4 linked regions of the Arabidopsis thaliana genome follow. The protein of the gene in region 1 interacts with the protein of each later gene in a pairwise test. Each region holds a gene or a part of one and is shown in the gene's direction. Other genes may lie near its edges. The genes, in order: IAA11, RGL1, TPL and ARF19.

Region 1 (6,228 bases):
TCACGGTAAACACCACCGAGAAAGTAAAGAGGAAGAGACAATTGAAAGAGAAGACCATTCACCATCACCAAATCACCAACTGTCATCTCTCCATTCATAATCCCTTGAGAACACAACACCATTGATGTTGACAAAGCTGTACTAAATATAAAACTCTGTCCAAAATCTAAAAACGCAAGACTCTTCTGAGTTTGCAATGCAGCATCTTCATATCTTCCGAGTAAATCATCGTACTTTCTCGCTTCGTAATCTTCGTTGTTAAAATACTTAACAGTCTCGTAGTTTACAAGAGAATCAATAGCTCTTGTGCTTGCATCATTATCAGCTTGGTTCATAGCTTTTCTAAACTTAGTTCTATACTGTGTCACAACCAATGTGAAAGCTATGTATGATCCAACGGAAAGAGAAGTGATCAAAGCAAAAACAGGTCCAAAATTGTATGCTAATATACCTGTGACCATTGATATCTCCAAGATCGTTGGAACAACATTGAAAACCATAGCAGAGAGGATCGTGTTAATCGCGCGACTTCCACGGTCAATGATTCTATTCAAAGCTCCTGTTTCTCGATTCAAATGGTAACGAAGATCAAGATCATGTAAATGCGAGAGCACTTTACGAGAAACAGATCGTATTGTGCGGAGAGATACTTTGGAGAAAACAGCAGTACGAAGCTCGTTAAAAGCTGAAGATCCAGATCGAGCAATGCCATAGCCAATGAGAACGGAAGAAGGAGTAGCGAAAGCAGCAAGTAGATAAGGATTTGAATCAGTGATTGTTGAAGATGAATATGAAGAGAGTAAATCGATAGATAATTTGAAGAGGAAAGGAACTTGAACATTCAAGAACTTAGCTCCTATGAGACACGCTAAAGCAGCGATGACTCTGAATCGGAGTTCTGGGTTGTCTTTCATCCATAGATAGCTTGAAATCGTGCGGAGGATCTTCTTAGATGATGCTGTTTTGGTTTGATCTTGATTTGGAGTTGAAGTTGAAGTTGAGAAGAAGAAGACTCGTGCGTTGACTGGAGATGGAGATGGAGATGGATCGGTGAAGAATGCATTGATAGCTGGTGATCTCTGAATTGAGCTACGTTTGATAAAACTGGAGAAACTGTGATGGTGATGATCAGAGCGAAGACGGTGATACAGAGAAGCGCGAGAGAGGAGAAACCGAGATCCCCTCATCATCGCTTCTTGTCCGAACGAATCACATACAATTTGGTCTAAATCGATTCTTTAATTCTCTGTTTTGTTCTCTCTGTACTACAGAGTAGCTTAACAAGAAGACGAGGAAGAAGATATCAACTCGGAAATAACCGGTTTTGGTTTTCTGTTTTTATTAAGATAATGAAATTAGCTATCTCGGAGATAACCGGTACTGGTTTGATTGCAACTGGGCTTGAGAGAATCAGATACGGTGGTACACACCGCAGCGAATCTCAGAGTATTCATTCTCTCACATGGACTCTTTCGAAAATTCAACTCTTCTACTATATGCAATTAATTAAAAAATTGAACGGTTTATTTGGAAAGTGAAAAGAAGCAACGGTCGGTTATGTCTTCCCTCCAGACGACAGGGTTTTTATTCGGACACCACTAAAAATGGACAGCTAAACTCCTTTATTGCCTTAAAAATTCAATTTTAATTACGTGATTAAAGATTAGATTGCCACTTGATTTTAAAATACTAATTAAACCTATATAGTGATGGTATCTAACTATCAATAGCTTTAAACCGGAACTAATCAGCACCGTCCGATTTGGAAAGATGGATGGACCAAAGGACGTGTGGGCACGAGTCCCCCCTCTCTGTACACGTGGGTCCCACTAAGCCTTCTAAGTAATCTTTTTCTAGCCGTCCGATTGAATCCCATGAAGCTGACATGTGAGCCCCCACTTCTTGAAAATATATATTTGTATGAATTTTGTTTTTATTTTATTTTCCAGCCTTTTAAAAATGTTTTTATTAATACCACGGATACTACCGTTTTGATATCAAATTTTCTTTGAAATCTATCCGATCTTATATCAGATTTTGGAGTCAAATACCAACTACAAAAATCTGAACATTAATACAATAATATACATTTTGAAAAATCATGTTGTCCATTATATTTTTTGGCATCTAATCCTATCGTTAATTGATTATAAGTTTATAAATATATTACAACGGAATTTCGCATAATTGTAAAACTTCCCTATATAAACTTACGAAAAATTGAAATAATTATACCAAAAGTCCACATATTTTATTTTAAAAACTTACATAAGTGGATATTGTTAAAAGAAGGAAAAAAAAAGAGTTTCTAGTAAATATAGTCACGGAATAATGTGAGAAATTTATTATTGGATCAAAAAAATGATAAAATTGGGCGAGAAATAAGACTAAAAGTTAGGGAAGTGAAAAAGAGACAAATCCCACCCGTCGTGTCTTCTTGTTCATCCTTTGTTTCCCTTTTTCTTTCTCACTGTTTCTGCCTTACTTAAAGTCTCAATCTTTGCTTCAAATTCAACCCATCTCTTTTTCCTCCCTTCCCTCACAATCAAAATCTTAATTCTCAGCTTCTGGTTTTGTCGAAAATGGAAGGCGGTTCCGCTAGTGGATCGGCTTCGGCTTTGTCAAACGATGAAAATCTCGTCGTTTCTTGTGAGGATTCTTCTTCTCCTATAGGGAATGAGCTTGAGCTTGGTCTTACGTTGAGCCTTGGTCGCAAAGGGTATCGAGATTGTAGGGTTTACGCTGATGATTCTTCTTCTTCTTCATCATCTTCTTCTCTGAGCAGAGCTAGCGTAATTGCTGGGATCAAGAGGACAGCTGATTCCATGGCTGCAACTAGTGGGTGAGTGAAATTCTCTTCCCTTTCCTCTTTTACATTTTGATCAATTATGGTTTATTTGGGGATTCTTAATATCATGATTATCAATAGAACTATAAATAAAGATTTGATTTTTGCTTTTTATGGTTATGGGATTGATTAGACAGAATGTCCTTGATCACAGTTATCTGAAAAGATTCGACCTTTGTTACGTATAGATGACTTTGAATGTATCTTCCTGATCATTAGATAGTTTGCTTTGGTCATTATATCTTCAAATTGAATCTTACTATCGTTTTCTAGAGATGACAGTTTTTTTCTTCTTGGATTCTAAAGTATTTATTAGCTTTGGAGAGAAAGTGATTAATCCTGTATAGTGATTCTCTTGGTATCTGATTTTACAAGGCCCTGAAGTGTTTATAACCCTTTTTATGTGTTTACTCTTATTTGAGCAATTTGAAACCTTTGAAAATGGCAGGCAAGTTGTGGGATGGCCACCAATAAGGACTTACAGAATGAACAGTATGGTTAACCAAGCTAAGGCTTCAGCCACTGAAGATCCGAACTTGGAGATAAGTCAAGCCGTAAACAAGAATAGAAGTGATTCAACAAAGATGAGAAATTCCATGTTTGTTAAGGTGACTATGGATGGCATTCCTATTGGAAGGAAAATCGATCTGAATGCTCATAAATGCTATGAATCATTGTCAAACACTCTAGAGGAAATGTTTCTGAAACCTAAATTAGGTGTGCTTTTCGAATCTCATGGCCTTTTTTTTGGTTCCTTTGAAGTTGGTTCTTGGTATGGGAAATGAAGTTATGATTCTTTCTTTAATCAGGTTCACGCACACTAGAAACCGATGGTCACATGGAAACACCGGTCAAGATACTACCAGATGGGTCTTCCGGATTAGTACTAACGTATGAAGACAAGGAAGGAGATTGGATGCTTGTTGGCGATGTTCCGTGGGGGTATGCATACATATGTTCTTATGCTTTTGATGCTTTGTCCCGTGTAAGCGTCAAATTCTGAAGTTTGAACCTGAGTTTTACTTGTGTCTAGGATGTTTATTGGTTCAGTGAGAAGGCTCCGGATAATGAAAACATCGGAGGCTACTGGTAAAGGTACATTTACTGATTCGATCAAATCCTGATATCTGTATTAAAATCATTGTTTTGTCGTTGTGACCGTGTTTGTGTGATCCTTGTTTACAGCTCAGATGATATTATGAAGCAAATAATAATCTACGAAGAACCCTTTATGTTTGAAGCAGTAATAAGACAGATCACAGATCAAAGAGAAGACAAAAACATTGTAAGAAGCTTCTTCTTCTTCTCTCCCCTTTACAGTTTCTTTTTTGGCTCTGCCATTTTTCTTTTAGTTAGTTATATGTTCTCTTTGTAAATCACACTTTAAAAATCTATAAGAAAACCCTTTCTTGCACAAAAACAAAACGGTTCAGAGCAATGCACAAAGTTAATATGATCATGTAAAACAAAGGAAACTTATTCTACATGGAAAAATTAAATCAAAAGATACATATCTCTCTCTCTTTCTCTCTTTCTTCTACATACAGAACACGAATCGAACGAATCAGTTTATCGGCCTCTTTTGATTCTTAAATCTCATACTAAAGAAGGCCATTTACAGGTGAAGTACTAAAAACCGATGAATGTTTCTCGGCCAAGCTACGACTAGTGTTCTCTTCATTACTATTACTTTTCCTCCTCGGTTTAGCCTCTCCGAGCATCGATATCACATCTCTCATCGAAGGTCTGTCTTTCGGGAGCTTTGTAGTGCAGAGAAGAGCAATCTGTAGAACTAAAAGCATCTCTTCTTGCACATATCTGCAGTTTCCTACGTTAGGATCTAATGCTTCTTCTAGTGATATGTTGTCTCTTATCTTCCTTCTCACCCACTCCACAATGTCTACTGATTCTCCAAACTCCGGTTCCAATGGTCTTCTTCCGGTTAACAGCTCCAATAGTACGACGCCGTAGCTGTATATGTCTATCTTCTCATCCACCTTCAAAGTGTATCCATACTCTGCAAATGATCAACCATATGTTGTTAGACTAAACCGGATTGTAATCAATTTAGTAATCGGTATGGTATTTAAACCTTACCGGGAGCAATGTAACCGTAAGAACCGGCGACCATTGAAACGGTTTCTTTCTTCCTCGCCATCATCCTGGCGAGGCCAAAATCGGCGATTCTGGCGTCGAGATTCGCGTCGAGCAAGATATTGTTGGATTTGATGTCTCTGTGAATCACCGGAGGATGACAATCATGGTGGAGGTAAGCGAGGCCGTGAGCTACACCTAACGCGATGTTGTAACGCGAAACCCAATCAACGAGAAGTCTCCCGGCGGCGTTTTTGCCGTGAATCGCATCACCAAGGTTTCCGTTGAGCATGAATTCATATACGATCATCATGTTTTTGTCGTTGTATAAGAACCCTAGGAGCCTCACTATGTTTCTGTGTCTCAATTTCCCGAGGAGGTTAACTTCGCCTACGAAATCTCCGGTGGTTCCATCTTCAATATCCGCGGCAGATCTCCAGAGCTTCTTCACGGCGAGAACTGTGCTTGATCGTGACATTTCTGCTTTGTACACGATTCCGGTTGCTCCCATTCCGATCATGTTTGATTCTTTGATACATGCCAAGATATCGGAAGCTGTAAACCCTAATCTATGAAACGCCATTAATCTCCAAGGCCATTCACCTTTGCTCGCCGTCTCGTCGCCGCAGAATCCGTTAGAATACCATTTCTTGTACAGAGTTCTCGTAACAATGGTGAGAATCCCTAGAGCTAGAACCGATGCTATCCCAATCAACCATCCGGCGACAATTCGTTTCCCGTGGAGGCTACTGTGACTCGATGTTGCTCTTTGGAATTTACTACACGGTGGTAGAACGCCGCCGCAGAGACCGGAGTTTCCTCTTAGATCATCTGGATTTATGGTTTTGAGAAAGCCGTTGATAGGGACTGGACCTGTGAGCTTGTTGTATGAGACGTTTAGGAGTTCCAGAGCTGGAGATGTTCCGATGCTCTCTGGTAGTACTCCGGTTAAGGAATTGTTGGAGAGATCTAGCACTGCTAATGCAGACATTGTCGTGATCTGTCTAGGGATTTCGCCGGTGAGGTTATTATTTCTTAGGTTGAGGCTTACGAGCTTCTCGCATGAAGCAATGCTTGAAGGGATAGTGCCAGTGAGAGTGTTTGATGAGAGATCGAGATTAGAGAGTGAAGGACAATCCTGGAATTGGTCTGGAACTTCGCCGGAGATAAAGTTATCGGCGACTAAAAACGCCTGTAGGTTGTGAATTGAGAGGATTGTGGAAGGGAGAGATGATCGGATCTGGTTTCTTGAGAAATCAATGAAAGAAAGTGAAACTGAATCGGAG
Region 2 (6,617 bases), on another chromosome or scaffold:
CATCAAGAGTATAATTGGCGGTAAATCTTTGGTTACAAATGAAGGAAATTCACAACAGTTCGACTTTGTCTTAGATGTGAAATAGAAGAAGAATCTATTAATCATGCGATTTTTAAATGCCCTTATGTTCGTCATACTCGGAGATTAGCACATATCCAATCGGCAATTAATGTATATTCCTCCAAAACGAATTTTGTTAATCTGAATTTTTATTTTATTTTATTTTTTTAGAAACCATGATAAAAATAAAACATGATAGATCAAATTTTAACCCAAAGATTACACTACAATGGTATTTAATCCATGAGAGCTAAAACAATCACACAAAAGTTTACAAAATTAACTCAAAAGAAAAGATTGTTTTGTATGGTTTCTAAATTAACTAAGGGGGTGTTTTTCGTTAATGGATTTTATAGAATTGAAATCCAACACTAATCCACTATTATTTAACTAATGATTCTAAATCCAGCTTTAAAATCTAGTGTTATTGGAACTCATATTTGTAAATCATGCTTAATAGATTCTAAAGTTTGGTGTTATTCAATTAAGATTTTAAATATTTCATTAAAATCCAATGTTATTCAAAACTAAAAGACTTGTAAAATCTTTGTATATTAATTGATTTGAAATGAAAGTTCTTTAGAGTTTCATGAGTAAATCATTAGAATCAAAATCCAAGACATATTGCAGAGATTTTGAAATTCATACAAACATATTCTTAAAAGCAATATCGGAAAACAAATCTAAAGCTTAAAGAATTGACTTTAACTCCATAATTGAATAACACCACCTAAGACATTAGTAAATTGTAAGTGAATAAAAGAAAGCAACAAAAATAGTTAACAATTGGTAGATAAGAATTACATGCAGTGTAAGAAAATTTCACAAGGACTCAAATCACAATTATCAAATTTTGTAAATAGATAAGAATTTTCAAAATATCAAGTTGTCTAGCTAAATACTTAAGATTGTAAACTGCAATTCAAATTCAAGAAATTAAAATGGACATATATAGGGAAGTTATGGGCATGTATGTGATCTCGTACATCCCTTAGAGCGAGGTCTAAACCATCATTTGGAAAGCTCACCCCTTCCAACACAAATCGAACACATGACTTCTAAAATCTCTACGTTTTCGGTGATCAAAGGGATTTACCACTAGAAGTGCCAAGTTGACGGTTCTTGGGAATGTAAACTCTACTTCTAGGTTATGTTGGATATGCTTTCAGGAGGAATCTATGACCCTATTGCTAGGATTTAAGTCCCATCGCAAAAATATTACTCTGCTCATTTTCTTGAATTTCTTATATGGGCTATGAAGACCATTCTATCAAGTGCACTCACATGGTAGAAACTAAAGTCGGATCTCTGAGCTGATCATGATAACGCAATACCCCTTTGAGTGGCTCCACTTTAGTGGACTATTGTTTTCTCTTATTGTACTTTAGGTCCTCGTGAATTAATCTCTCGGACGAAAGTGTTTAGCATGTAGTATTTTAGCCCATTATTTGGGTAACCAATTAATGTTTATTCCCTTAATGTATTGGTGATGATAAAAAGAGCAAGTAGACTACTAAGTTCTTACCAACCAATAACCGAAGGTACCAAACGATTCGAAATTAAAAAGAACGAATAATACTGATGAAAACTGTTGAATTAAACAATGTCATAGAATATAGTCACTTAATTATGACTATTTCTCTTTCAAGGCACTAATCATCCTTGTAAATCATCATACTTTCCAACAAGTATTAGTAAACAAAACCTACTAAACTAAAATAGAACCTTAATTTTAATTATCATTGTTTAGACATTTTTACATACATGTTTTGAGGAAAAGTCTCCTAACTATCATAATGATCAAGTCTAGTCTACTATTAATAGCAAAGAAATTAAAGAAACTATCAAAAATATTTGGACCTAGACATCAACATCTAACAGTATAACCTAATCAATCAAAGTAACAATCTTGGTTCGAAATGAGGATATGCATTATGTGAAAAGGGTCATTGTAGAACTATGAAAAATGGTTATGCATATGGGGAAGCTTAAAAATGTTTTATGATTGCATGTATCTTTCTTAAAGCTCATACCGAAAGAGCTCCACATCTAATAATGGTCGTAACCACACAGTATTTTATTTATTCTCCATCTATCGCCTTTTGAACATGTCTAAAACACAAGTATATAATAAAAATGCGTATTACAACACAAAAATATATAATACTAATATCGCTAATAAGAATATAGAATGATATTATTATATATTCTTGTTGGGTTATTTTGACGACAGTTCTTAAGTCAACTTAATTATTTTTGCAAAAGACATTTTTGCACGTTAGTTGTAATTTTTTTTCGCAACTAAAAATATATGCAAATATTTTACATAAAACATCTTTTGCTTTGTTTTGTCAATCTCTTATGCTTACACTACTTGATAGTCATTTCTTTGAGGAAGAGCGCCAATCCTACAAAAAAAGTAAGAAATATTTATTGTTACAAAGGTGATTCGAATTCGAGTGATAATTTCACAACGACGCTTACAAGAATAGCTAGATTTCATGTATTTTCCGATTACCAATTTTTTTTTGTATCAACAACAACATGCATATGAGTTTGAACTTCGACGGTGTCACATCAGCTCTTGCACACTAGCACAAATCACTAAATTACGTTTTTAGTCAATTAAAAATAATAAAACATATACAAATATGACCACAATCATAATACTACAATTGAATGGCGATGATATAAATTCAATTTTTGTATTAGTAATACGGTTTGAAAATCTACATTCGAAATGTGAAACGTACAATGCCATCATTATGCAAAAAAAAAAACAACTTTCAAACATTATTCTATATGAAATGGAGGAATTGGTAAAAATAGAATTCATTACATCACCTAAAGATTAATCACCCGATAATATAAAAACAGAAAACTAAACAAGATTTCCCTGAAATTTATAGTTTAATATATTTTCTTATGAACATAATGAATTTCTTTATTTATTCTCATTTATGAAGATGATATAAAAGTTTGAACAATAATCACAACACAACACATAAAAAGTAAATCTCCTAATCACCAAAAACTATAAAAATGAAATGTATGTTTTTGTAGTTGAAAAAAGGGTGGTGGTTGGCTTTAGAAATTGGACTTTTAACCTAAATGTTTCTCTACAATACAACTTCCAAATCATAACCGTTATTTAATATTACACCTAGTCTTCATCAAATAATCAAAATCACAAAATAATCAAATATCAAAAACAAGTTGTTATAGTTTTTAATCAAAATAATTATGACATAGCATAGATTATAGAATATCTCGTTCAAATAATGATGTCAGGTTTACATCAATCAAACTGAATTTTCTCGAGAAGCATATTTTGAAAATTAAAATTTATTCGCAGAAAAAGAAGAGAAAGGAATCTACTATTATTTACTGTATATTATATAAAGAGGAAAATAAAATAGGTAAATAAATTTCCTTTTATAATTGCTTTAGATTGCGGTTGTACCACGGCTCTGCTCTTGCTTTTAAGAACTTGCCGGTACTAAATTTCATATACTCCAATTAAAAGCTAGCTCGAAACCCCAAATGTTATTTTATTTTTCTATATAATAATAATCATACATTATAAAAAAAAATCATATCATTATTTAAAAATAGAATTTTATTTTTCTTTCTTCTTCTTCAATTATTATGACACTCCCGTGTTCCTAATCTTTTCTCTTATTCTTCTCTTTCTTCTCATCTTACAAAATCTTGCAAATCAATTTTAATGAAGAGAGAGCACAACCACCGTGAATCATCCGCCGGAGAAGGTGGGAGTTCATCAATGACGACGGTGATTAAAGAAGAAGCTGCCGGAGTTGACGAGCTTTTGGTTGTTTTAGGTTACAAAGTTCGATCATCCGACATGGCTGACGTGGCACACAAGCTTGAACAGTTAGAGATGGTTCTTGGTGATGGAATCTCGAATCTTTCTGATGAAACTGTTCATTACAATCCTTCTGATCTCTCTGGTTGGGTCGAAAGCATGCTCTCGGATCTTGACCCGACCCGGATTCAAGAAAAGCCTGACTCAGAGTACGATCTTAGAGCTATTCCTGGCTCTGCAGTGTATCCACGTGACGAGCACGTGACTCGTCGGAGCAAGAGGACGAGAATTGAATCGGAGTTATCCTCTACGCGCTCTGTGGTGGTTTTGGATTCTCAAGAAACTGGAGTGCGTTTAGTCCACGCGCTATTAGCTTGTGCTGAAGCTGTTCAACAGAACAATTTGAAGTTAGCCGACGCGCTCGTGAAGCACGTGGGGTTACTCGCGTCCTCTCAAGCTGGTGCTATGAGGAAAGTCGCGACTTACTTCGCTGAAGGGCTTGCGAGAAGGATTTACCGTATTTACCCTCGAGACGATGTCGCGTTGTCTTCGTTTTCGGACACTCTTCAGATTCATTTCTATGAGTCTTGTCCGTATCTCAAGTTTGCGCATTTTACGGCGAATCAAGCGATACTTGAGGTTTTTGCTACGGCGGAGAAGGTTCATGTTATTGATTTAGGACTTAACCATGGTTTACAATGGCCGGCTTTGATTCAAGCTCTTGCTTTACGTCCTAATGGTCCACCGGATTTTCGGTTAACCGGGATCGGTTATTCGTTAACCGATATTCAAGAAGTTGGTTGGAAACTTGGTCAGCTTGCGAGTACTATTGGTGTCAATTTCGAATTCAAGAGCATTGCTTTAAACAATTTGTCTGATCTTAAACCGGAAATGCTAGACATTAGACCCGGTTTAGAATCAGTGGCGGTTAACTCGGTCTTCGAGCTTCATCGCCTCTTAGCTCATCCCGGTTCCATCGATAAGTTTTTATCGACAATCAAATCAATCCGACCGGATATAATGACTGTGGTCGAGCAAGAAGCAAACCATAACGGTACCGTATTTCTCGATCGGTTCACGGAATCGCTACATTACTATTCGAGCTTATTCGACTCGCTCGAGGGCCCGCCAAGCCAAGACCGAGTGATGTCGGAGTTATTCCTAGGACGGCAGATACTAAACCTTGTGGCATGCGAAGGAGAAGACCGGGTAGAGAGGCATGAGACTTTAAATCAGTGGAGAAACCGGTTCGGTTTAGGAGGATTTAAACCGGTTAGTATCGGTTCGAACGCGTATAAGCAAGCAAGCATGTTGTTGGCACTTTATGCCGGGGCTGATGGGTATAATGTGGAAGAGAATGAAGGTTGTTTGTTGCTTGGATGGCAAACGCGACCGCTTATTGCAACATCTGCGTGGCGAATCAATCGTGTGGAATAAAAATAAATAATGGGAAAAGTGAAAATGTGCTATATACTTTATTGCATTGCTGATAAAGAAAAAAAGTCCCACGTTTTCCAAATTTTATGAATTCTAAATTTTGTTCACTTGTCACGAGATTTTGACCTCGCATAAATAGACTATTACGTCAGGGTCAGGCCAATGAAATGATTTTTTATCACTTGTTCTCATTAAGGTAAAAAAGGTCTTTTCTATTTCATCTTTGGTTTTCGATAAAATTAAAATTGAATAAGAGATGAAATAATGATATATATAAGGTGATAGTCTGATAGATATGGATAAATGTTTCATGACACGAACCAGTAGTCAAGTTCTTTTGAGAATAATCCTAAGACCATGGACTTTAAATAGATTGGTTAAAGGGTCATTATCTCTTTAATTAAGGAGGACAGTGGTGTGTTTAAAATGTATTTGTGCTCTTTTGACGTTGATTTAATTAGTACCCACCGCCAAATAATATATGAGCATTCCTGTTATCGCATGTTGACATCATTTTAAGAAAATGATTTTCGTAGGTAACATTTTGTTGGTAATCAATTTAACAACTACCAATTTTATTACTTTTAGAAGAAATATGCATGAGCTGACATAATTATACTGTACATAAGTTCATAAGTTTCTGTCGGTAGAGAGGTTTGTTCATCAGGAATTCGTAATGACGCAAAACATAAATTTGTCTTTAGAAACTTTATATGAATATATAAATTTGGGAAACTATTATAAATCCTCATAAATTTTAACAAATTTTCAAATACTTTTACCTTTCTAAAACTTTTATATGTTGTTTCTTATAACTTACTTACACAATTTTGTAACAATTTTCCAAGTATAACCAGAATTGTTTTGGTAATAAAACCTTCCTCAGAATATGTTCTTGGAAACGAGATTTTAATTTGATGGGCATCATCATTCTTCGACACTACAACCATTTTAAAATTTTGTTTTACTCGTTGAAAGTATTTTCTTTTCAATAATGGTGCATTCTAGGTTTGATTAAATTGTGAAGTCCAAACCCAAGCCCAATAAGGGAAGTTTGAGGCCTAACCCAACTCCTAATATAAGTTTCTCGTGTGTGTAATTCTATGATATTACCTTTTTACGATAATTTAATTAGTCATTTTAAAAATCTTTTAATGAACTAATGACGCGTCGAAGCCGCGATTAAAAGCTGCAAAAGTACATGCATGAAGTCAATGTATAACGCTTTCTATGGTATTGACCTTGGCAAGTTTAAATTTTTTAGGCTCATATTTCGGACCATTTAAGGAAAGCA
Region 3 (9,931 bases), on another chromosome or scaffold:
GGCAAAGCAATAAAACCTTTATGTGAACGTGTAAGAGAAGGGGACACATACATTAATGGAAAGCGACATATCCCTAAAACTAATAAATAATGCCTTAATAAAAGACCACTTTCTTGACGATTAAAATAACAATTTCTAATACTAGAGTATATTTTTGGCCATACGTACTTGGCAAATTTTGTTGCTAAATGAAAATTTCAATAGTTGAGTTCAATATTAGAGTCAATGGAGAAATGAAAATAAAGAGAATCTGAAGTTGGATTTATCATTCAATTTGGGGGATTATCGCACAGTTACCGGTATAGAGTAGAGGCAGATGTGTACTAGCAGTCGTTATTAAATCGTGAATGATTAAAATAAATAACGTTTCGTTTTCATTAAATGGGGAAATAATAATCGAAAAAAAGAAAGAAAGAAGAAGAAGTTAGGGCTGAGGTTGATCAGAGCGTCACTGATCTCGTGATAGTGAGACTTTTGGACAGATACGCCGGATGGGACCCACTTGCTTTGCTTTTGGCCGGATAGCTTTTTAACTTAAAGAAAAAAATTGCAACCACCATCTATCCCTCAATGCTCAATTCTAACTCCTTTATTTATTTATTTATTGTGATGCTATAGTTTGTTTCTTCTTCTTTCCATTAAATAAGTCAGATTTTATTTTCTCTTAATTAATACAGTAAGTTTTAAATTATGTTTTAGTTATAAGATATGAATTAAACACATAGCATTATTTTCTTTAATACGAGCAAATTCTCCGAAATTTGTAAAATACATAGAATTTTTCTATCAAAAATAAAAGTAAGAGTGTAGATTTGTATTTGATGGGATTTTTATTCTAACTGTGATATCTATATGACAAAATCTCTATTATTCTAACTTTTTTCTTTTTCTTGATATCATTCTAACTTAATCATTAGACTACAATCAATTTGTTTAGAATATATTTGTGTTGCGCTCATAACGATTCTTTTCAATATATATTGTTTGATTAAAGCTTTTAACAAAGTACAGTTTGCTTTCTAAATTATTTTTAACACGTATCCAGTTTTTTAAAAATATATAAAAATATATTCTTCACACCTATCATTTTTTATAAATAAAATATTTTTAACATTTAAAGATATATAAGATATTTCTAATAGTATAATTTATTTTTAATACTTATCATGTTTCTTAAATGGTTTGAACGCTTCGTTTCATTAGTTTATCCAACCTACCTCAGTTATGATATTACACTTTAGTAAAATAAAAAAAAACTGGTTATAAACTTAAAATATTATGCTTTGCTCGTATTAAAGAATTTCAGTACTTGTATATCGTTTTTTTAATTATTATTATGATTTATGACCTCGCGATTCGTGATGGTTAGTAGTAGACTAGTCGTAGTGGACAACTACTGTAAGAAAAAAAACTAAAAATAGATAGACACACACGCTAAATTAAATAAATCGTAAATCACGATTACATATTTATGTTTGTACTTGAAAATGTTATCGCTTTACGTGTGGTGATGGTGAGACAACAGTGTTTGTGTTTGGACGGGATAGATGTCAAATTACTCAAACGTGCGACTCTAAATTACACAAACTCTCATTTATTGCCCATCCTCCATCGATATCTTCACCCCTCTAATATATTTTAAAAATGTTATTTATAACTTCAACAATACACATTCGGTTTCATTTACAATTAATCCTTGCGTTATTATTACTTCTAAGCTATAGTATCTTGTACTTCCTTCCCCTGCTATTATTTAAACGGAAAGAATCCAGCTAATTCCGATCCACCTGCTCCTAGTAGCAATCTATCTATAAACAAACAAAACTAAAGTATAAATTATCACGAACATCTTAACAATAATAGTCAATGCAAGTGGTTCTTGTGTATACAAAGAATTAATAGGAACTACTATCCACATCCTTACGTTTACATTTTTCACAACCAATCATGCACTAAATTAACCTCTAATGAAAAAGTTAAAAATAAAGAATAATATTATCAAAGAATAATGATAATGTTCAGCAACATGTTGGACCAAGAAATGTTCAAACAATACTATAATATTGAAATATTTAGTAGTATTAGTTTTGTTCTTGTTTTTTTTATATGAGGAACATCAGCCATATCGTATAAATCGTGATAAACCGAGTTTATAAATCATATTTCGTATCTCGCCGAGAAGAAAGACGACGTAGCATCTTTACGAGTTGAACATTTCTCCATCACGTGATGTTCGATGAGTTAACGCATCTCAAGAGCAATTGGCTCTTCAATGTCATATCCGTAAATATTAGTCAAACTTGAGGGCAATGACTCAATATAAAAAGCTTTGTCGTGCCACGAGGGATCTGGAGACAAGTCTGACACATTGAATGAAACTCTAGCCGTTAGATCTCCGTCCTCCGCGCCATCTGACAAAATCGACGGTTTTCCAGATAGGTGTAAAACTCATCGCGAAGGAGTGGATCACACCTCTGTGGAGTACAGCTGGCAACTAATATTCCGAGCCGATAACGTCGAGAAATGTAGCCGATCAAGTCGTAGTTATAAGCAGTTCTACTTATCATTCCTGCTTATCGCAGTTAGCTTTTCTTAGAGTGATAGCTAACTTATTTTATCAGCATCCAATTATCTGTCACCTTCTCTTATTAAAATCTCCATTTCTGCAAGTTTTAATGTCCGTATATATATCTCGAAGAGAGAGAAAATCCCTTTTTCTCTAGATAGAGAGAGAGAGAGAGAGAGAGAAGAAGAAGCTTTTTAATTTAGTTTTGCTTTCTTTCAAGTTTCCTTTTTTCGATAGAGAGAAAAAGAGTCCAAAAATCAATCCATCACCTCTTTCGTCTCTGTGGTCTTCTTCTTCTTCTTCATCGATCTCTCTCTCTTTATGGTGAGTAAGCTTCACGCTTCTTTCTTCTACCTTTGTTGCCTCTGTTAATGGAATCTAGCTGTTTCGAGTTTTATTGTATATATTTTTTTATCCTTTTGCCCAAACTTTTTTCTGGGTTTTGCTTTATTTTTTCATCCCCCTTTCTGATAATTAATTTGCTTTTTTCATGTAGTAAAAAAAGATTCTTTTTTTAAGCTATTAAATTCACATCTTCCAATTCCAGGAAGACCTAAATTTCCTCTTTTTTTTGCCGTTATCTGCAGAGATGCGAAGTTTCTGGATAATTATTCAGATATAGGTTCCAAGTTTTTAGCTTTCATTTCTAACTTCTCTTTTCGTGTTTTTTAATTTCCATAATCTGGAAACTCAGATTTGAGCTCATTTCGGCCATTGTTTATATTGCAGATCTGGTGATAGTTTGGTTAGTTGTTGTGCATCTGAGTTAGAAAAAAGTCTTTTAAGGAAGTGAGAGAAAACATGTCTTCTCTTAGTAGAGAGCTCGTTTTCTTGATCTTACAGTTTCTCGATGAAGAGAAGTTTAAAGAGACTGTTCACAAGTATGTCTCTTTTGCTCTGTAGATTTCCTTGGATCTAATTTACCAACTGACCTGTTTAGCTCTTGTGTTGGTTAATGCATTATTGCTTTGTCATGTTCAGGCTTGAACAAGAATCTGGGTTTTTCTTCAATATGAAGTATTTTGAGGATGAGGTTCACAATGGAAATTGGGATGAGGTTGAGAAGTATCTCTCTGGTTTCACTAAAGTAGATGATAATAGATACTCTATGAAGATATTCTTCGAGATAAGAAAGCAGAAGTATCTCGAGGCTTTGGATAAGTAAGTCATGGTTGGGGATTTGTTTTTTTTTTTTCCTTTCAGTGAGATAGCAAAAGAAAAAGAGTCTGATTTGTGATTGACCTTGGTGACTTTTTTGTTGGTAGGCATGATCGTCCCAAGGCTGTGGATATACTAGTGAAGGATTTGAAAGTGTTTTCAACTTTTAATGAGGAGCTTTTCAAGGAAATAACACAGCTCTTGACATTGGAGAACTTCCGGTAATGTTATATTGGATTAATGTAGTGTCCAAAGCCTTTGTTTTCTTAGCCGTAGTTCAAAAGAAAGATTGATGCAGAGTATTAAGTGTTTCGAGTTTGATCAACTTTTAGGGAGAATGAACAGTTATCCAAGTATGGGGACACCAAGTCTGCAAGAGCGATCATGTTGGTGGAACTCAAAAAGCTGATTGAGGCGAATCCTTTATTCCGTGATAAATTGCAGTTCCCTACTCTTAGAAATTCAAGGCTGAGGACTTTGATCAACCAGAGGTTTATTGCTTTGTCCCTTAATCTTTTTGTCTTATTCACTTCAAGTTGTTGTTGGCATATTAATTCATTCTATCTTTTGTTACTGCATAACTCGCAGCTTAAATTGGCAACACCAGCTTTGTAAAAATCCAAGGCCAAATCCAGATATCAAGACTCTTTTTGTGGATCACTCTTGTGGCCCTCCAAATGGCGCACGAGCTCCATCTCCTGTGAACAATCCACTGCTTGGAGGGATACCAAAGGCTGGAGGATTTCCTCCTTTAGGCGCACACGGGGTAATTTAGTTTCTATCATTTTTATTTATGTTTTCCTGAGGCCAAGTGTTTGATTGTCTCTATGTTTCCAGCCATTTCAACCAACGGCGTCACCTGTTCCAACACCTCTTGCTGGTTGGATGTCTAGTCCATCCTCTGTCCCACATCCAGCTGTCTCAGCAGGAGCCATTGCACTTGGTGGTCCATCAATCCCAGGTACTACTTGCTTATCAAATGTGTATGTTTCTTCAGACACACTTTGTGTGATCTATGCAATTTGCTTACAATGGAACTCCTTTCCTATCTTTGGTATAGCGGCGTTGAAGCACCCGAGAACTCCTCCAACTAATGCTTCTTTAGACTACCCGTCAGCAGATTCTGAACATGTCTCAAAAAGAACAAGACCAATGGGAATCTCTGACGAGGTGAATCTAGGCGTGAACATGTTACCGATGTCATTTTCAGGGCAGGCCCATGGTCATTCTCCGGCTTTCAAAGCACCTGACGACTTGCCCAAGACAGTTGCGAGAACTTTGAGTCAGGGCTCATCTCCCATGAGCATGGATTTCCATCCAATTAAACAGACCCTGCTTCTAGGTGTGTTTCTTGCTCTCTGTATGTGCTTCTGTGTAATAATAATAATAATAATCATCAGCAATTTTCTAAATTCGTTTGAATTGTTGTACCAGTTGGTACAAATGTAGGTGATATCGGGCTGTGGGAAGTTGGTTCTCGCGAAAGATTAGTACAGAAGACGTTCAAAGTCTGGGATTTGAGTAAATGTTCAATGCCCTTGCAGGTGCCTATGCATAGCAACAACAAAATGTTAACTTTTATATATGTTATGAATCTACAGTGACTGAATTAGTTGTATCTTCAGGCTGCTCTGGTGAAAGAACCTGTCGTTTCTGTCAACCGTGTGATATGGAGCCCTGACGGTTCCTTGTTTGGTAAAGAACTCGCCTTTAAATTTATATCTGCACATGAATGCAACTTTATAAGTCACCAAACGTTCTGAATTGCAGGAGTTGCTTACTCGAGACATATTGTACAACTATACTCTTATCACGGAGGTGAAGACATGAGGCAACACCTTGAGGTCTCGTACCATTCACAAGCCTCTCTCTTTAACAATCGTTTTTTCCCTTGGGGATTTTCTTGTAATATTGTGATTATTTCAGATTGATGCTCATGTTGGTGGTGTGAATGATATTTCCTTCTCGACTCCAAACAAGCAACTATGTGTAATAACTTGTGGTGATGACAAAACCATCAAGGTTTGGGACGCTGCAACAGGTGTCAAAAGGCATACTTTTGAAGGCCATGAAGCTCCTGTTTATTCCGTTTGTCCTCATTACAAGGAAAACATTCAGGTAAGCTTAGCTAACCGTTGATCTCCCTCCCTTCTATTAAATGTTTCAGTTTTTTGATGTGTTGTATTTTTCCTGTCATCAAGTTCATATTTTCAACAGCTCTTGATGGGAAAATTAAGGCTTGGTTGTATGATAATATGGGTTCCCGAGTTGACTATGATGCACCTGGTCGCTGGTGTACTACAATGGCTTATAGTGCCGATGGTACTAGGCTATTCTCTTGTGGGACGAGTAAAGATGGAGAGTCTTTCATTGTTGAGTGGAATGAAAGCGAAGGAGCTGTTAAAAGAACTTATCAAGGATTCCACAAGCGTTCTCTAGGTGTTGTGCAGTTTGATACAACTAAAAACCGTTATCTAGCTGCGGGTGATGATTTCTCCATCAAGTTCTGGGATATGGACGCTGTACAGCTTTTAACTGCCATTGATGGCGATGGAGGCCTCCAGGTACATGAACAAAAAATGCCTAACTAGAAAAGTTTTCAGATATTCTTTTGGAGTTTCTTCTTAACTTGCGCTTCTAATATATTTAAACTAGGCAAGCCCGCGTATCCGGTTCAACAAGGAAGGCTCTCTCCTGGCCGTGTCTGGCAACGAGAATGTGATCAAGATTATGGCAAACTCAGATGGTCTAAGGCTATTGCACACTTTTGAGAACATATCATCTGAATCCTCCAAGGTACTTAAAATCTAAGCTAAGCTTTAAATTACTTACACCCAATTGAAAGATTTAGTCAACACTTCATTCTACATTTGCAGCCTGCAATAAACAGCATAGCAGCGGCAGCGGCAGCTGCTGCAACAAGTGCTGGTCACGCAGATCGATCAGCCAATGTAGTTTCCATCCAAGGAATGGTAAGAAATACAATTCTTTTTTGTTCTTTCACTCACTTTATTTTATCTTTCTATTATTCATCACTTGCCTTTTTAGAATGGAGATTCGCGGAATATGGTGGATGTGAAGCCAGTGATCACAGAAGAATCAAATGATAAGTCTAAGATATGGAAGCTTACTGAAGTCAGCGAGCCTTCTCAATGCAGGTCACTGAGACTCCCTGAGAATCTGAGAGTAGCCAAGGTATATAAAATATACATTTTCTGAGCCATGTATAGGGTATATATATATAGCTGTTCTTTTTTCTGACAATAAAACCAATGACTTTTGGCAGATATCAAGATTGATTTTCACGAATTCGGGAAATGCTATTTTGGCTCTGGCATCAAACGCAATTCATCTTCTATGGAAATGGCAGCGGAATGAGCGCAACGCAACTGGAAAGGTGAAATTGAGACTCTTTCTTAGTCAAATAATGATAAGTGTCACTGATCTCTACATCTCGATTTTCCGTGTAGGCGACAGCTTCTTTACCGCCTCAGCAGTGGCAACCAGCTAGTGGGATCCTCATGACTAACGATGTTGCTGAAACCAATCCCGAGGAAGCTGTACCTTGTTTTGCTTTATCCAAGAATGATTCATATGTAATGTCAGCCTCCGGAGGAAAGATATCCTTATTTAACATGATGACGTTTAAGGTAATGGGGACACATAGATGCTGATCTTTTGATGTTCTGTGTATGCAATTTGACTGACTGTTCTTGGCTAATAATTTGCAGACAATGGCGACTTTCATGCCCCCACCACCGGCTGCTACTTTTCTTGCTTTTCATCCTCAAGACAACAATATCATCGCTATTGGGATGGATGATAGCACGATTCAGATTTATAATGTCCGTGTTGATGAGGTAATGCATCAAAACTCAAGAGAAGAATGTAGAAAAGAAGATGAAGTGTTTTGTTTGTTAATATGATGGCCATCATGTTCCTTGTTTGCTCCTGCAGGTGAAGAGTAAGCTTAAAGGTCATTCAAAGAGAATAACTGGTCTTGCCTTCTCCAACGTATTAAACGTGTTGGTTTCGTCTGGAGCAGATGCACAGGTTCCCGCCTTAGACCATTTTTTTTTTTTTTTTTGAGAATCGATGAAGAAAAGATCAATAGTCTTTGAAATGTTTTTGTTTCAGCTTTGTGTTTGGAACACAGATGGATGGGAAAAGCAGAGAAGCAAGGTTTTGCCACTTCCACAGGGAAGACCAAACAGTGCACCTTCAGATACGCGTGTTCAGTTCCATCAAGATCAAGCTCACTTCCTCGTTGTGCACGAGACGCAACTTGCTATATACGAAACTACCAAGCTCGAATGCATGAAACAGGTATTTTATATTTATAGGCCGCTCTCTCTAAGATCTGCAATTTATTGCATTTGAAAGATGATTAATGATTGCAATGTTTCAGTGGGCTGTTCGAGAATCATTAGCTCCAATCACTCATGCCACATTCTCATGCGATAGCCAATTGGTCTACGCGAGTTTTATGGATGCAACAGTTTGTGTATTTAGCTCTGCAAATCTACGGCTGCGTTGCCGGGTCAACCCTTCTGCGTATCTACCAGCTAGTCTCAGGTAAACAGAGGAATCTTGAAATTTACCCAAAAAAACAGAGGAATCTTTAAATTTCGGAAAGAACGTTTCTAAACATCAATCGGTTAGTTGTTTATATATCATAAAGCTCCTCTTGTTGACTTGTGCAGCAATTCAAACGTACATCCACTAGTGATTGCTGCACATCCGCAAGAACCAAACATGTTTGCAGTTGGTCTCTCAGACGGGGGAGTGCACATATTCGAACCGCTCGAGTCTGAAGGTAAATGGGGAGTCGCTCCACCGGCTGAGAACGGGTCGGCTAGCGGTGCACCAACTGCACCTTCCGTTGGAGCCTCTGCATCTGATCAGCCTCAGAGATGATCTGATCCGAGAGCCACCTACCTCTCTGATTCCCTTTCTTCTATTTAAAAGTCTTTTCTTTCTTATTTTTTTGGTAGAAAAATTTATGACCCAGAGATTCTTAACATTTAGATGTAACATATTTTCACAGTAATTCAGTAGTGAAGTTTGGATAAAAACAGTGACTGATGTTGTTTCTCTCTCTTTTCCTTTTCTGAGATTTTTACCTTCACATAGATTTTCTATTGTGCAAGATATTCAATTATATATTACAGTCGATATTTCGAATTTACATATATTTACAAGAGTGACAGTTTATGTTGGTTCACTTCAGTAGATAAACAAACCAAACAGATCCTGAAAGCTGACCACGTAGAAGAGCCATGGAGGACTCTTTCGTCCGGCCATAGCTTGAAAGAAGCTTTATTTACAGTTTCTTCAGCAAATAATCCGAAGAAGAGCATAGCTTTTGACGATATATCTAAGAGCAGTGTCTTAGTCTGAGACCAGAGGAGATCGATCTATTTACAGAGTTCGTGAATTTGCCTTTGAACATATTATTTTATTCAGGACGGAAGTTGACCAAGTTTGGCAGATCAGTCGCCTGAAGCTTCCTGATGTCATTAGCAGAGAGCTTGCAGGACTCCAAGGTCAGAGATCTCAAGTTCTTCAATGGCTTCAGGTGACGTAGTCCTGAGCTTGATACTCGAGAGTTTGAGACGTTCAGAGAGACCAATCCGGTCAATCCTGCGGGTTTTATGAGATTATGGTTCAGGTTTCAGGTACATATGATTTGTCTCATTGAACAAGAATTGTATATTTACCAGAAATCAACTCCAGTGTTTTGTCTGTGAGATTGGAGTTTTGTGATAGATTGAGGAGAGTGAGGGATGAAAGATCTTTTATGTTCTTGACACCAGTATCGGTTAATCCACCACCACATATTTCAAGTGACTGCAGTTTCTTCAGGTCTGTATCAGAAGAAAACCAACAAAGAAAGTTTATGAGGCAGATCTCCACGGAAAAGAATAGATAATAAACATCAAAAACTTACTTCGTAGGTGATTTGTTCCAGAATCTGTGATACGAGCACCGAAGAGATCAAGGTGCGTCAACCCTGTCAAACCTAGAACAAAAACAGACAGTGGGTTACTCAAGAGGTGGTAACCACATCATACCAAAGCAAATAACTTTGCACTGGAAGGACTTACTTGTGAGCGCGGAAAGACCAGCATCAGTAACATGACGAGCATCCAGATTCAATGTTCGAAGAGATGTCAAACCAGATAATTTTCTTAAACCGCTATCGGT
Region 4 (9,931 bases), on another chromosome or scaffold:
TTAGTTACCAGCCATAAGTTATATAGATAAATAATATCGTAGTAAAGATTCTAACTAATTGGGAATTTCGTTAAATTACGAGTTACAACTTTATGAATCCTCATGTACATGTGTGCTCGCCTGCTCGGTCTTAGCAAAAATTAATATGCGAAGCCAATTAAATGTACTGATGAGTCTGTTTGGGCTAGATTCATCCGTATCTGGGTTAATTATTGGATTGAGCAAATAAACAAATGTAAAACCAAGTTGTAAACACAGTAAACGTTAACCAGTTTTTTTTCTTTTTTTTTTTTTTTTTTTTTTTTTTTGCTGACTAGATCATGAATTCGGTTGTAGTATGCAAAATAGAAATGAAAAATGTGAATAATCAAGGGTAAAGTGAAATTTCTCCCCACAAGTTGTGTAACAACAACTATATCGATTAACGAGTCAAAAATTAAATTACCACATGAAAAATGTCAAAGTTAATTAGGAACTTTTTTTTCATTGAACCAATTAATTTTTGATGAAATTTATGGTTTATTAATCTGACACAACACTGTATAAAAGATTTTTTTTGTTAAAAGTTAAGAAAGAAGAATGTTGAGAGAACCATCAATGTTAAACCAATAGATGATAGTCAAGATTCATAGTATAAAAATTTACCACATTGGTTGAGAGATCAATTCCTTTCACCATAATGTCAATCATAATTAGCCGCTAGAAACGTTTTCTATGTCAAAAATACACAGCTTTTTCATATTGATTTTGGTTCAGAATTTCATGGTTTTATACCTTGTTTGATAACGTCATTAGAACATATGTACTTTTGTACTACTGAAACATTAAACTAGTGTGCAAAACAAGATTTTAAGATAGTCTAAATTCCAGTTAACAGAAAAATAAAAAATATTGTTGGTTGGGAAATAGTAGAACAAACGAGAGAGAGAGTGTGTGTGGTTACGATGAGGAGAAGAGACATAGAGGCATACACTCACTTAAAAGCAAAACCATTTTGGCTAAACCGAAAGACTCGGTCGGAGTCTAGAGCCTGTCTCTCCCGACATCCTCTGCCACACCTCACGTGCATGCTGCACCCACACTCACGTGCACATACATTTTTCTTGTGTTTTAGTTATTTTAGTAAAAACGATATATTTATTGACTCTTTCTGTAATGGTGGTAGAAATTGAGGAATTCACAAAAGTCCCAAGTTTTTGTTATATATGGTGCATGCGTATGTATTTGAGGAAACTTTTGCAGGATGCGTGGATCAAATCCAATTATAATTTAATTTTATATAGATATAAAAGTCAATAGTGGGAGGTGAAAAAAATATCAACAATGATTGAGTGTTACTACTACTAGAATGGTTAATTCGTTTTGATGAGGAGTGATTTCTAAACACATCAATTGTTGTACGTACATATACTCTCCACGCGCAGCAAATATTGACCCAAAAAGGCATAAAAAACACTAAAGCATGCCAACTTTTTATTCTTGTTGAGATTTACTTTGTCGTCCCATATCTTTTCAAATTTTGATCCTCTATAATATATGTTTAAACCTAACTTATCAAACTTTACATTCCTTTTTCTTTTGCTCACTAGGTAAGGCTCTTGAGATCGCTTCACCTCATCTCTTGTTTAACATTTATAAACATGTAGCTGTCTGGTTAATCAATTTACATGTGGTAAATTATAAATTACTCTAGAAAGAGATGTATATTAAACTGCTAAGTTCATGGCTAATCTTCGGTATTTCTTGTTTAACCGCGATAAGTTGAACATATATTAATGAGCTCTTATGGTTTTTGTTTAATGTCCATTTGGAGGTGTGATCATCTCATATGTTCTCACCAAAAGATTACCACTTGAATTCTTTTACATGTGAAATGTTTTAATTTATTAACCCTCTTCTGTTTTGATCAAAACATAAACTATATATTTGAATCTTTTATATATAATTCATATTAATTAAATAACATCATGTTTTCAATGAATGTATTGACATGATATCAATGAAGAATATTTACTTTGGAAAGAGTCAGAGTTGTTCTCGAAAGATATTTAAATGTTCCAAATTATTTCCGTTTGTCTAAACATAGAAAATCCCTAATTACATATAAATCAACAAAAAGGTAATAATTAGGTCAAAACCTCCCCCACTAAATACATGTATACTGAGATTCAGAAATACAATACTATTATAGTATATGTTAATTGAAAGCAAAATTCATAAGAAAGATCGGCGTTGAAAGGAAAAAGGCTCTACAACTACATTTTATATGCATACGTAGAGAGCTGAAAGTAAGGAACAACTCTACTCCGGTCCAGATTAATTGTAAAGAACTTTATACATTAATTAAAACAAAAACGAACACTTTATACTATTGATTAAAAAAAGAAGAAGATGAATAAAATAATTGCCTGAAAAATTAATAATTACACATGAAGGCTTAGCTTTAATTGGAGTATAATGATGTCCGTAGCTCTGTAAACATGTGAAGTTCTCCTCCTTTTGCGGCTAGTGGGTGCTCCATTGCGTATCAAAAGGAATATTATTCTAATCATAATTAAGTCATTAAATTACTAGTAGTGTTTTTTTTTTTCTCGCATTATACGGACATGTCTCAATTTGGACCAATCCATATAAATGAATAAACTTATTAGCTACTACTATATTATAACAGAAAATATGTATATAAAAGAAAAAAAGTGGGACATCTTTTCTGGTAACCAAGAGTTTACAACTTTGGATTAGAAAATATTTAAGTCCCCATTTGGCTTGCAATTTTCGGTCCGCCGAACCTAATCCTTAGGTTTTTCTCAATATATCCGGGTTTATGGTATAACCTCATTCATAAGAAAATCCGTATTACTAAAGTAAAAAATTAAAAATATGGTTATAAAAACGAGGGAAAGTTAACAGATTTTAAAACCATGGACTGTTTTTCCAACAACAGTAAATTATAATCGGAAAAGATAAAAATAAAAAGAAATAAAAAAGGTGGGACCGACAAGAAGAAGACATCAAGTGGGGTGCCACGTCAGAAGGCATAAGAAAAGATTTCATCTTTCCGCATGTATCCGATCCCAATCGGCTTAAATCTCAATATCGATTATTGTTTTTATTTTTTTGAAAAAACACTTGAGAATCTGCAGAAACACGAGAAAAAAAAGAAAAGTTTCAAAGCTTTTTAAGAGCTTAAAAATTTGCTTTGAAGCTTCAAATATTCTTATGAACTAAAAAGAAGAAAAAAGCTTTTGTTTCTTTTTCCTTAGCAGCAGAATGATTTTTGTTTCCAAAATTATTACTATTTAGTTTCTCTCGTGCTCTTCTCTTGAGCAAATACAGATTCGTTAATTTTGCTGAAGAAGAAGAACTCTGTTTCTTCCCTGCACCAAACCAATTTTTTCGTTCTTTCTATAAACCATGAAAGCTCCATCAAATGGATTTCTTCCAAGTTCCAACGAAGGTACACAAGCTTTATATTTATCTTCTTCTTTTCCAGATTTTATACTATTCAATTTCTTCATCAAGGAGTTTCTGCATTTCATGTTTGTGATTTTCTCATTGAAAAAATGAATTTTGTTATTCAATTTCAACTTTGGAGTCAGCACAAAGTCACAAATCGAGTTCTTCTATCACTTTATTTAATAAAGTGGTTGAAACATAAATGCCGCTCATAAAATTTCCAGACTTTAAATGAAACTATGCAAAAATTCTATCACTTTTAACAGATTTGAATATGTGTGTGATGATGATGAACAGGAGAGAAGAAGCCAATCAATTCTCAACTATGGCACGCTTGTGCAGGGCCTTTAGTTTCATTACCTCCTGTGGGAAGTCTTGTGGTTTACTTCCCTCAAGGACACAGCGAGCAAGTAAGTTCATTGCGTTTCAAACTATTTTGAAACCTTTGGTAGCAATCTAAGTAATATGTTCAATGAAACCTTTTTTCAGGTTGCAGCATCGATGCAGAAGCAAACAGATTTTATACCAAATTACCCAAATCTTCCTTCTAAGCTGATTTGCTTGCTTCACAGTGTTACATTACATGTAAGTCTCTTCTGACTCCAACTTGTGAATCAACAAGAAGATGAACTAATCAGGACTTTTGTGAAATTCTGAATCAGGCTGATACCGAAACAGATGAAGTCTATGCACAAATGACTCTTCAACCTGTGAATAAGGTCTGAATTATATCATTCTTCTTGTGCTATCTTGGTTTAAAGTTGAGGACTTTAATGCTGATCTTTGCTCAAAATGTGTGACAGTATGATAGAGAAGCATTGCTAGCTTCTGATATGGGCTTGAAGCTAAACAGACAACCTACTGAGTTTTTTTGCAAGACTCTTACTGCAAGTGACACAAGCACTCATGGTGGATTCTCTGTACCGCGTCGTGCAGCTGAGAAAATATTCCCTCCTCTTGTATGTCTCTCTGATCAAAGCTACTCTCAGTTTCTTTTGCTTCAAACTTTTGAATCTGTTTTGCTAAAAGTTCTAAGGGTGCTTAAAATAGGATTTCTCGATGCAACCGCCTGCGCAAGAGATTGTAGCTAAAGATTTACATGATACTACATGGACTTTCAGACATATCTATCGAGGTTTGAATCATCTAAAGTTTGTTTTATTAGTCTAAAAGATTGAAAACTTCAACCTGATTTGTTTTCTTTGATGTAATCTGATCTCAGGCCAACCAAAAAGACACTTGCTTACCACAGGTTGGAGCGTTTTTGTTAGCACAAAGAGACTATTTGCGGGTGATTCAGTTTTGTTTGTAAGGTATGAGTCATACTTTGATCAAAACATTAAGCAGAATTGGACTTTCATCTTCTCATAAGGGTACTTGGGTTTGCAGAGATGAGAAATCACAGCTGATGTTGGGTATAAGACGTGCAAATAGACAAACTCCGACTCTTTCCTCATCGGTCATATCCAGCGACAGTATGCACATTGGGATACTTGCAGCTGCAGCTCATGCTAATGCCAATAGTAGCCCTTTTACCATCTTCTTCAATCCAAGGGCAAGTCCTTCAGAGTTTGTAGTTCCTTTAGCCAAATACAACAAAGCCTTATACGCTCAAGTATCTCTAGGAATGAGATTCCGGATGATGTTTGAGACTGAGGATTGTGGGGTTCGTAGATATATGGGTACAGTCACAGGTATTAGTGATCTTGACCCTGTAAGATGGAAAGGCTCACAATGGCGTAATCTTCAGGTAATGACATATCCGAGTTATGCTAAACTGTTTATGATGGTCATTTCTTCTGAATCTTTTGTTCATGGTTTAAACAGGTAGGATGGGATGAATCAACAGCTGGAGATAGGCCAAGCCGAGTATCCATATGGGAAATCGAACCCGTCATAACTCCTTTTTACATATGTCCTCCTCCATTTTTCAGACCTAAGTACCCGAGGCAACCCGGGATGCCAGGTGAGTTTACTGCTTTCGTTCATTTTTTTCCCATAGATCTTTGACTGAGTTTCCGGATACTAACCTTGGTGGTTTGTTGCAGATGATGAGTTAGACATGGAAAATGCTTTCAAAAGAGCAATGCCTTGGATGGGAGAAGACTTTGGGATGAAGGACGCACAGAGTTCGATGTTCCCTGGTTTAAGTCTAGTTCAATGGATGAGTATGCAGCAAAACAATCCATTGTCAGGTTCTGCTACTCCTCAGCTCCCGTCCGCGCTCTCATCTTTTAACCTACCAAACAATTTTGCTTCCAACGACCCTTCCAAGCTGTTGAACTTCCAATCCCCAAACCTCTCTTCCGCAAATTCCCAATTCAACAAACCGAACACGGTTAACCATATCAGCCAACAGATGCAAGCACAACCAGCCATGGTGAAATCTCAACAACAACAACAACAACAACAACAACAACACCAACACCAACAACAACAACTGCAACAACAACAACAACTACAGATGTCACAGCAACAGGTGCAGCAACAAGGGATTTATAACAATGGTACGATTGCTGTTGCTAACCAAGTCTCTTGTCAAAGTCCAAACCAACCTACTGGATTCTCTCAGTCTCAGCTTCAGCAGCAGTCAATGCTCCCTACTGGTGCTAAAATGACACACCAGAACATAAATTCTATGGGGAATAAAGGCTTGTCTCAAATGACATCGTTTGCGCAAGAAATGCAGTTTCAGCAGCAACTGGAAATGCATAACAGTAGCCAGTTATTAAGAAACCAGCAAGAACAGTCCTCTCTCCATTCATTACAACAAAATCTGTCCCAAAATCCTCAGCAACTCCAAATGCAACAACAATCATCAAAACCAAGTCCTTCACAACAGCTTCAGTTGCAGCTACTGCAGAAGCTACAGCAGCAGCAACAGCAGCAGTCGATTCCTCCAGTAAGCTCATCCTTACAGCCACAATTATCAGCGTTGCAGCAGACACAAAGCCATCAATTGCAACAACTTCTGTCGTCTCAAAATCAACAGCCCTTGGCACATGGTAATAACAGCTTCCCAGCTTCAACTTTCATGCAGCCTCCACAGATTCAGGTGAGTCCTCAGCAGCAAGGACAGATGAGTAACAAAAATCTTGTAGCCGCTGGAAGATCACATTCTGGCCACACAGATGGAGAAGCTCCTTCTTGTTCAACCTCACCTTCCGCCAATAACACGGGACATGATAATGTTTCACCGACAAATTTCCTGAGCAGAAATCAACAGCAAGGACAAGCTGCATCTGTATCTGCATCTGATTCAGTCTTTGAGCGCGCAAGCAATCCGGTCCAAGAGCTTTATACAAAAACTGAGAGCCGGATCAGTCAAGGCATGATGAATATGAAGAGTGCTGGTGAACATTTCAGATTTAAAAGCGCGGTAACAGATCAAATCGATGTATCCACAGCGGGAACGACGTACTGTCCTGATGTTGTTGGCCCTGTACAGCAGCAACAAACTTTCCCACTACCATCATTTGGTTTTGATGGAGACTGCCAATCTCATCATCCAAGAAACAACTTAGCTTTCCCTGGTAATCTCGAAGCCGTAACTTCTGATCCACTCTATTCTCAAAAGGACTTTCAAAACTTGGTTCCCAACTATGGCAACACACCAAGAGACATTGAGACGGAGCTGTCCAGTGCTGCAATCAGTTCTCAGTCATTTGGTATTCCCAGCATTCCCTTTAAGCCCGGATGTTCAAATGAGGTTGGCGGCATCAATGATTCAGGAATCATGAATGGTGGAGGACTGTGGCCCAATCAGACTCAACGAATGCGAACATATACAAAGGTTAGAGATCTTTCTCTCCCTTTCCATAGCTCTAATCTTTTGCTTCTTAATTTTCGAATGCTAAATGCCGAAAGTTGTTAAATCATTGAAGGTTCAAAAACGAGGGTCAGTAGGTAGATCAATAGATGTTACCCGTTATAGCGGCTATGATGAACTTAGGCATGACTTAGCGAGAATGTTTGGCATCGAAGGACAGCTCGAAGATCCGCTAACCTCTGATTGGAAACTCGTCTACACCGATCACGAAAACGATATTTTACTAGTTGGTGATGATCCTTGGGAGTACGTTCCAGACCTGAAAAATCTATCTGTAACAGTCAAGATTGAACAATTCTGATAATTCTTGTCTGTTTGTTTTTTCCACAGAGAGTTTGTGAACTGCGTGCAGAACATAAAGATACTATCATCAGTAGAAGTTCAGCAAATGAGCTTAGACGGAGATCTTGCAGCTATCCCAACCACAAACCAAGCCTGCAGCGAAACAGACAGCGGAAATGCTTGGAAAGTACACTATGAAGACACTTCTGCTGCAGCTTCTTTCAACAGATAGAAATAAAAAGATGCAAATATACCAAGTCAACTTACATTATCATTCGAGGCCATCGCAAAGTACATGTTTTTTTTTGTGTGTATGTACTGCAAACAACAAACTGAGAAGAAGAAGATACTGCACGGTATATAAACATTTTTATAGGACAGTGATTTGATTTTTCATTCTAACTTGATGTTGTTGTACTTTCTTGTTTCCATATTTGTATAACAAGTATAATGCTTGACAAGTCTATGAGGAGCATATCTTATACAGAGATACTAAGATGTAATGTTAATGTAACTAAACAATTACCTTCATTAATCATGAATCTTTGGTCGTTTCTTCTTCTTCTCTTCAGTGCCTCCTAAGAATCAGGGATCATTTCAGATTCTTTTATACCAGTATCCTCTAGACGCAGCGAAATATTCAACATTTCAACGTTTGAAAACGAAAAGAGAGGAGTTAAAGAAAGAATCACGTGAAAAACAAGGACAAGGACAAGAAAACCAAACAGTCTCTGAGATTTCCCGTGTGAGTTGTGACCCACACACATTAAGACTCAAGCTTCTAGTAACATCCGCCACGTGTCCATTCCCCTGACACTTTGCGGCGTTTTAAGTACAAACGCGCTCCCTTTGACCTTTGAAGCTGACCTTCTTTCTTCTTCACGCGCCATAAAAAGTCAAAAACTCACTCTTCACTCTTTTATTTCACTCGTATAAATAAATTTCTGAAGCGCCAAATACAATTATCTCAATTCAAATCAACACTAACACTGAAGAACAGAGCTCACTGAAAAAACTTAACAGAACAAAATTAAACCGGAAAACAGAGAAATCATACCGGGTTGGTTCAATCGCGTCTTTGTTTGGTTTAATCGTGATGGAAGGGTCGTCTTCTTCGATGCAGTCAAAGTACAAAGGAGTGAGGAAGAGGAAATGGGGAAAATGGGTTTCAGAGATCAGACTTCCCAACAGCAGAGAACGTATTTGGTTGGGCTCTTACGATACTCCTGAGAAGGCGGCGCGTGCTTTCGACGCGGCTCTTTATTGTCTCCGTGGCAACAACGCAAAGTTCAATTTCCCTGATAATCCTCCGGTGATCTCCGGCGGACGTAACTTGTCGCGATCTGAGATAAGAGAAGCTGCTGCGAGGTTCGCTAATTCGGCGGAGGATGATTCAAGTGGCGGAGCAGGATACGAGATACGGCAAGAATCTGCTTCAACATCGATGGACGTTGATTCGGAGTTTTTGAGTATGCTTCCGACGGTTGGTTCGGGTAACTTCGCTTCGGAGTTTGGGTTATTCCCTGGGTTTGATGATTTCTCCGATGAATACTCCGGTGATCGTTTCAGAGAGCAGCTTTCGCCTACACAAGATTATTATCAGCTTGGAGAAGAGACTTACGCCGATGGTTCCATGTTTCTTTGGAATTTTTGAATTCCATTATTCACAATCTGAAAATTTTGACTTGGGTTTTTTATTTTTTTTTGTAGTTCTTTACCCAATTTTTTTTTGATCATTGGGATAAAGAGTTATTCATTCACTATTTTTTTCCCACGTGTTAGATTTTTCAGATGGGAAAAGGCCAAACTTAATAAAACAATTATATTTGGATCTTCTGACGTCATTTGATCATATTATCATGATATCATCCACTCCAATCGCTTTCACTAGGCCCAATTACAAATCTTATTTTAACTGTACGATTAAGCCCAACAATAATACTTCAGGCCCATTAAAATCAATAAGGGTATTGTCTTATTAAATTTCAATTACAATTTTTACTTTAAGTTGTACGATTAAGCCTAATAATAATATTTCAGGCCCATTCAAACAAAGGCAATAAGGGTATTTGTCTTATTAATTTTTATATATTTATTTTCTGATATATTTGACAACGACCTTATTAATGTTTTAAGGGTTTTCAATATAATCATTTCAATGAATATCTTTTAAGAAAAAAAAATATACAATTCAGTAATCAATTAAGCCAGTGAAATTCAAGGATTAATTGGAATTAAAAAAATTGAAACAAATAGTTTAAAATTGTTATGAAATTATGCTACTATAATTTATCTAAACCAAAACGAATATTCTTAGCCACTAACTATTAACTTGACAAATCCTACAGTTAGTTATATTCAAAA

The links.
Region 2: the proteins of IAA11 (region 1) and RGL1 interact in binary tests that used the Arabidopsis thaliana proteins (3 or more experiments, as listed by UniProt).
Region 3: the proteins of IAA11 (region 1) and TPL interact in a two-hybrid assay, tested with the Arabidopsis thaliana proteins (3 studies listed by BioGRID).
Region 4: the proteins of IAA11 (region 1) and ARF19 interact in binary tests that used the Arabidopsis thaliana proteins (3 or more experiments, as listed by UniProt).

The regions. Positions count from the first base shown.
Region 1 is NC_003075.7:14,139,706-14,145,933, forward strand, and holds IAA11 (indole-3-acetic acid inducible 11), read left to right. Parts: upstream 1-2,429; 5' UTR 2,430-2,582; coding exon 2,583-2,842; intron 2,843-3,296; coding exon 3,297-3,565; intron 3,566-3,657; coding exon 3,658-3,790; intron 3,791-3,881; coding exon 3,882-3,943; coding exon of another isoform or gene 3,944-3,972; exon of another isoform or gene 3,973-4,033; coding exon of another isoform or gene 4,034-4,038; coding exon 4,039-4,223; 3' UTR 4,224-4,264; downstream 4,265-6,228. Other genes in the region: ABCB23 (ABC transporter of the mitochondrion 1), read right to left, coding at 1-1,190; AT4G28650 (Leucine-rich repeat transmembrane protein kinase family protein), read right to left, coding at 4,450-4,865, 4,946-6,228. UniProt on the Arabidopsis thaliana protein: Aux/IAA proteins are short-lived transcriptional factors that function as repressors of early auxin response genes at low auxin concentrations.
Region 2 is NC_003070.9:24,744,540-24,751,156, forward strand, and holds RGL1 (RGA-like 1), read left to right. Parts: upstream 1-3,565; 5' UTR 3,566-3,787; coding exon 3,788-5,323; 3' UTR 5,324-5,647; downstream 5,648-6,617. UniProt on the Arabidopsis thaliana protein: Probable transcriptional regulator that acts as a repressor of the gibberellin (GA) signaling pathway. No effect of the BOI proteins on its stability.
Region 3 is NC_003070.9:5,413,796-5,423,726, reverse strand, and holds TPL (Transducin family protein / WD-40 repeat family protein), read left to right. Parts: upstream 1-2,693; 5' UTR 2,694-2,890; exon of another isoform or gene 2,891-3,153; 5' UTR 3,154-3,188; exon of another isoform or gene 3,189-3,295; 5' UTR 3,296-3,367; coding exon 3,368-3,447; intron 3,448-3,547; coding exon 3,548-3,727; intron 3,728-3,831; coding exon 3,832-3,945; intron 3,946-4,056; coding exon 4,057-4,215; intron 4,216-4,312; coding exon 4,313-4,490; intron 4,491-4,561; coding exon 4,562-4,685; intron 4,686-4,784; coding exon 4,785-5,066; intron 5,067-5,158; coding exon 5,159-5,268; intron 5,269-5,349; coding exon 5,350-5,419; intron 5,420-5,494; coding exon 5,495-5,568; intron 5,569-5,650; coding exon 5,651-5,842; intron 5,843-5,925; coding exon 5,926-6,288; intron 6,289-6,379; coding exon 6,380-6,520; intron 6,521-6,600; coding exon 6,601-6,696; intron 6,697-6,772; coding exon 6,773-6,919; intron 6,920-7,010; coding exon 7,011-7,121; intron 7,122-7,194; coding exon 7,195-7,374; intron 7,375-7,455; and 11 more. Other genes in the region: AT1G15740 (Leucine-rich repeat family protein), read right to left, coding at 9,183-9,367, 9,445-9,591, 9,675-9,746, 9,832-9,931. UniProt on the Arabidopsis thaliana protein: Transcriptional corepressor. May repress the expression of root-promoting genes in the top half of the embryo to allow proper differentiation of the shoot pole during the transition stage of embryogenesis. Regulates the expression of PLT1 and PLT2.
Region 4 is NC_003070.9:6,626,263-6,636,193, reverse strand, and holds ARF19 (auxin response factor 19), read left to right. Parts: upstream 1-3,060; 5' UTR 3,061-3,414; coding exon 3,415-3,457; intron 3,458-3,753; coding exon 3,754-3,866; intron 3,867-3,945; coding exon 3,946-4,041; intron 4,042-4,118; coding exon 4,119-4,175; intron 4,176-4,259; coding exon 4,260-4,415; intron 4,416-4,506; coding exon 4,507-4,591; intron 4,592-4,678; coding exon 4,679-4,769; intron 4,770-4,845; coding exon 4,846-5,206; intron 5,207-5,283; coding exon 5,284-5,422; intron 5,423-5,504; coding exon 5,505-7,249; intron 7,250-7,340; coding exon 7,341-7,531; intron 7,532-7,615; coding exon 7,616-7,799; 3' UTR 7,800-8,511; downstream 8,512-9,931. Other genes in the region: AT1G19210 (Integrase-type DNA-binding superfamily protein), read left to right, coding at 8,664-9,221. UniProt on the Arabidopsis thaliana protein: Auxin response factors (ARFs) are transcriptional factors that bind specifically to the DNA sequence 5'-TGTCTC-3' found in the auxin-responsive promoter elements (AuxREs). Could act as transcriptional activator or repressor.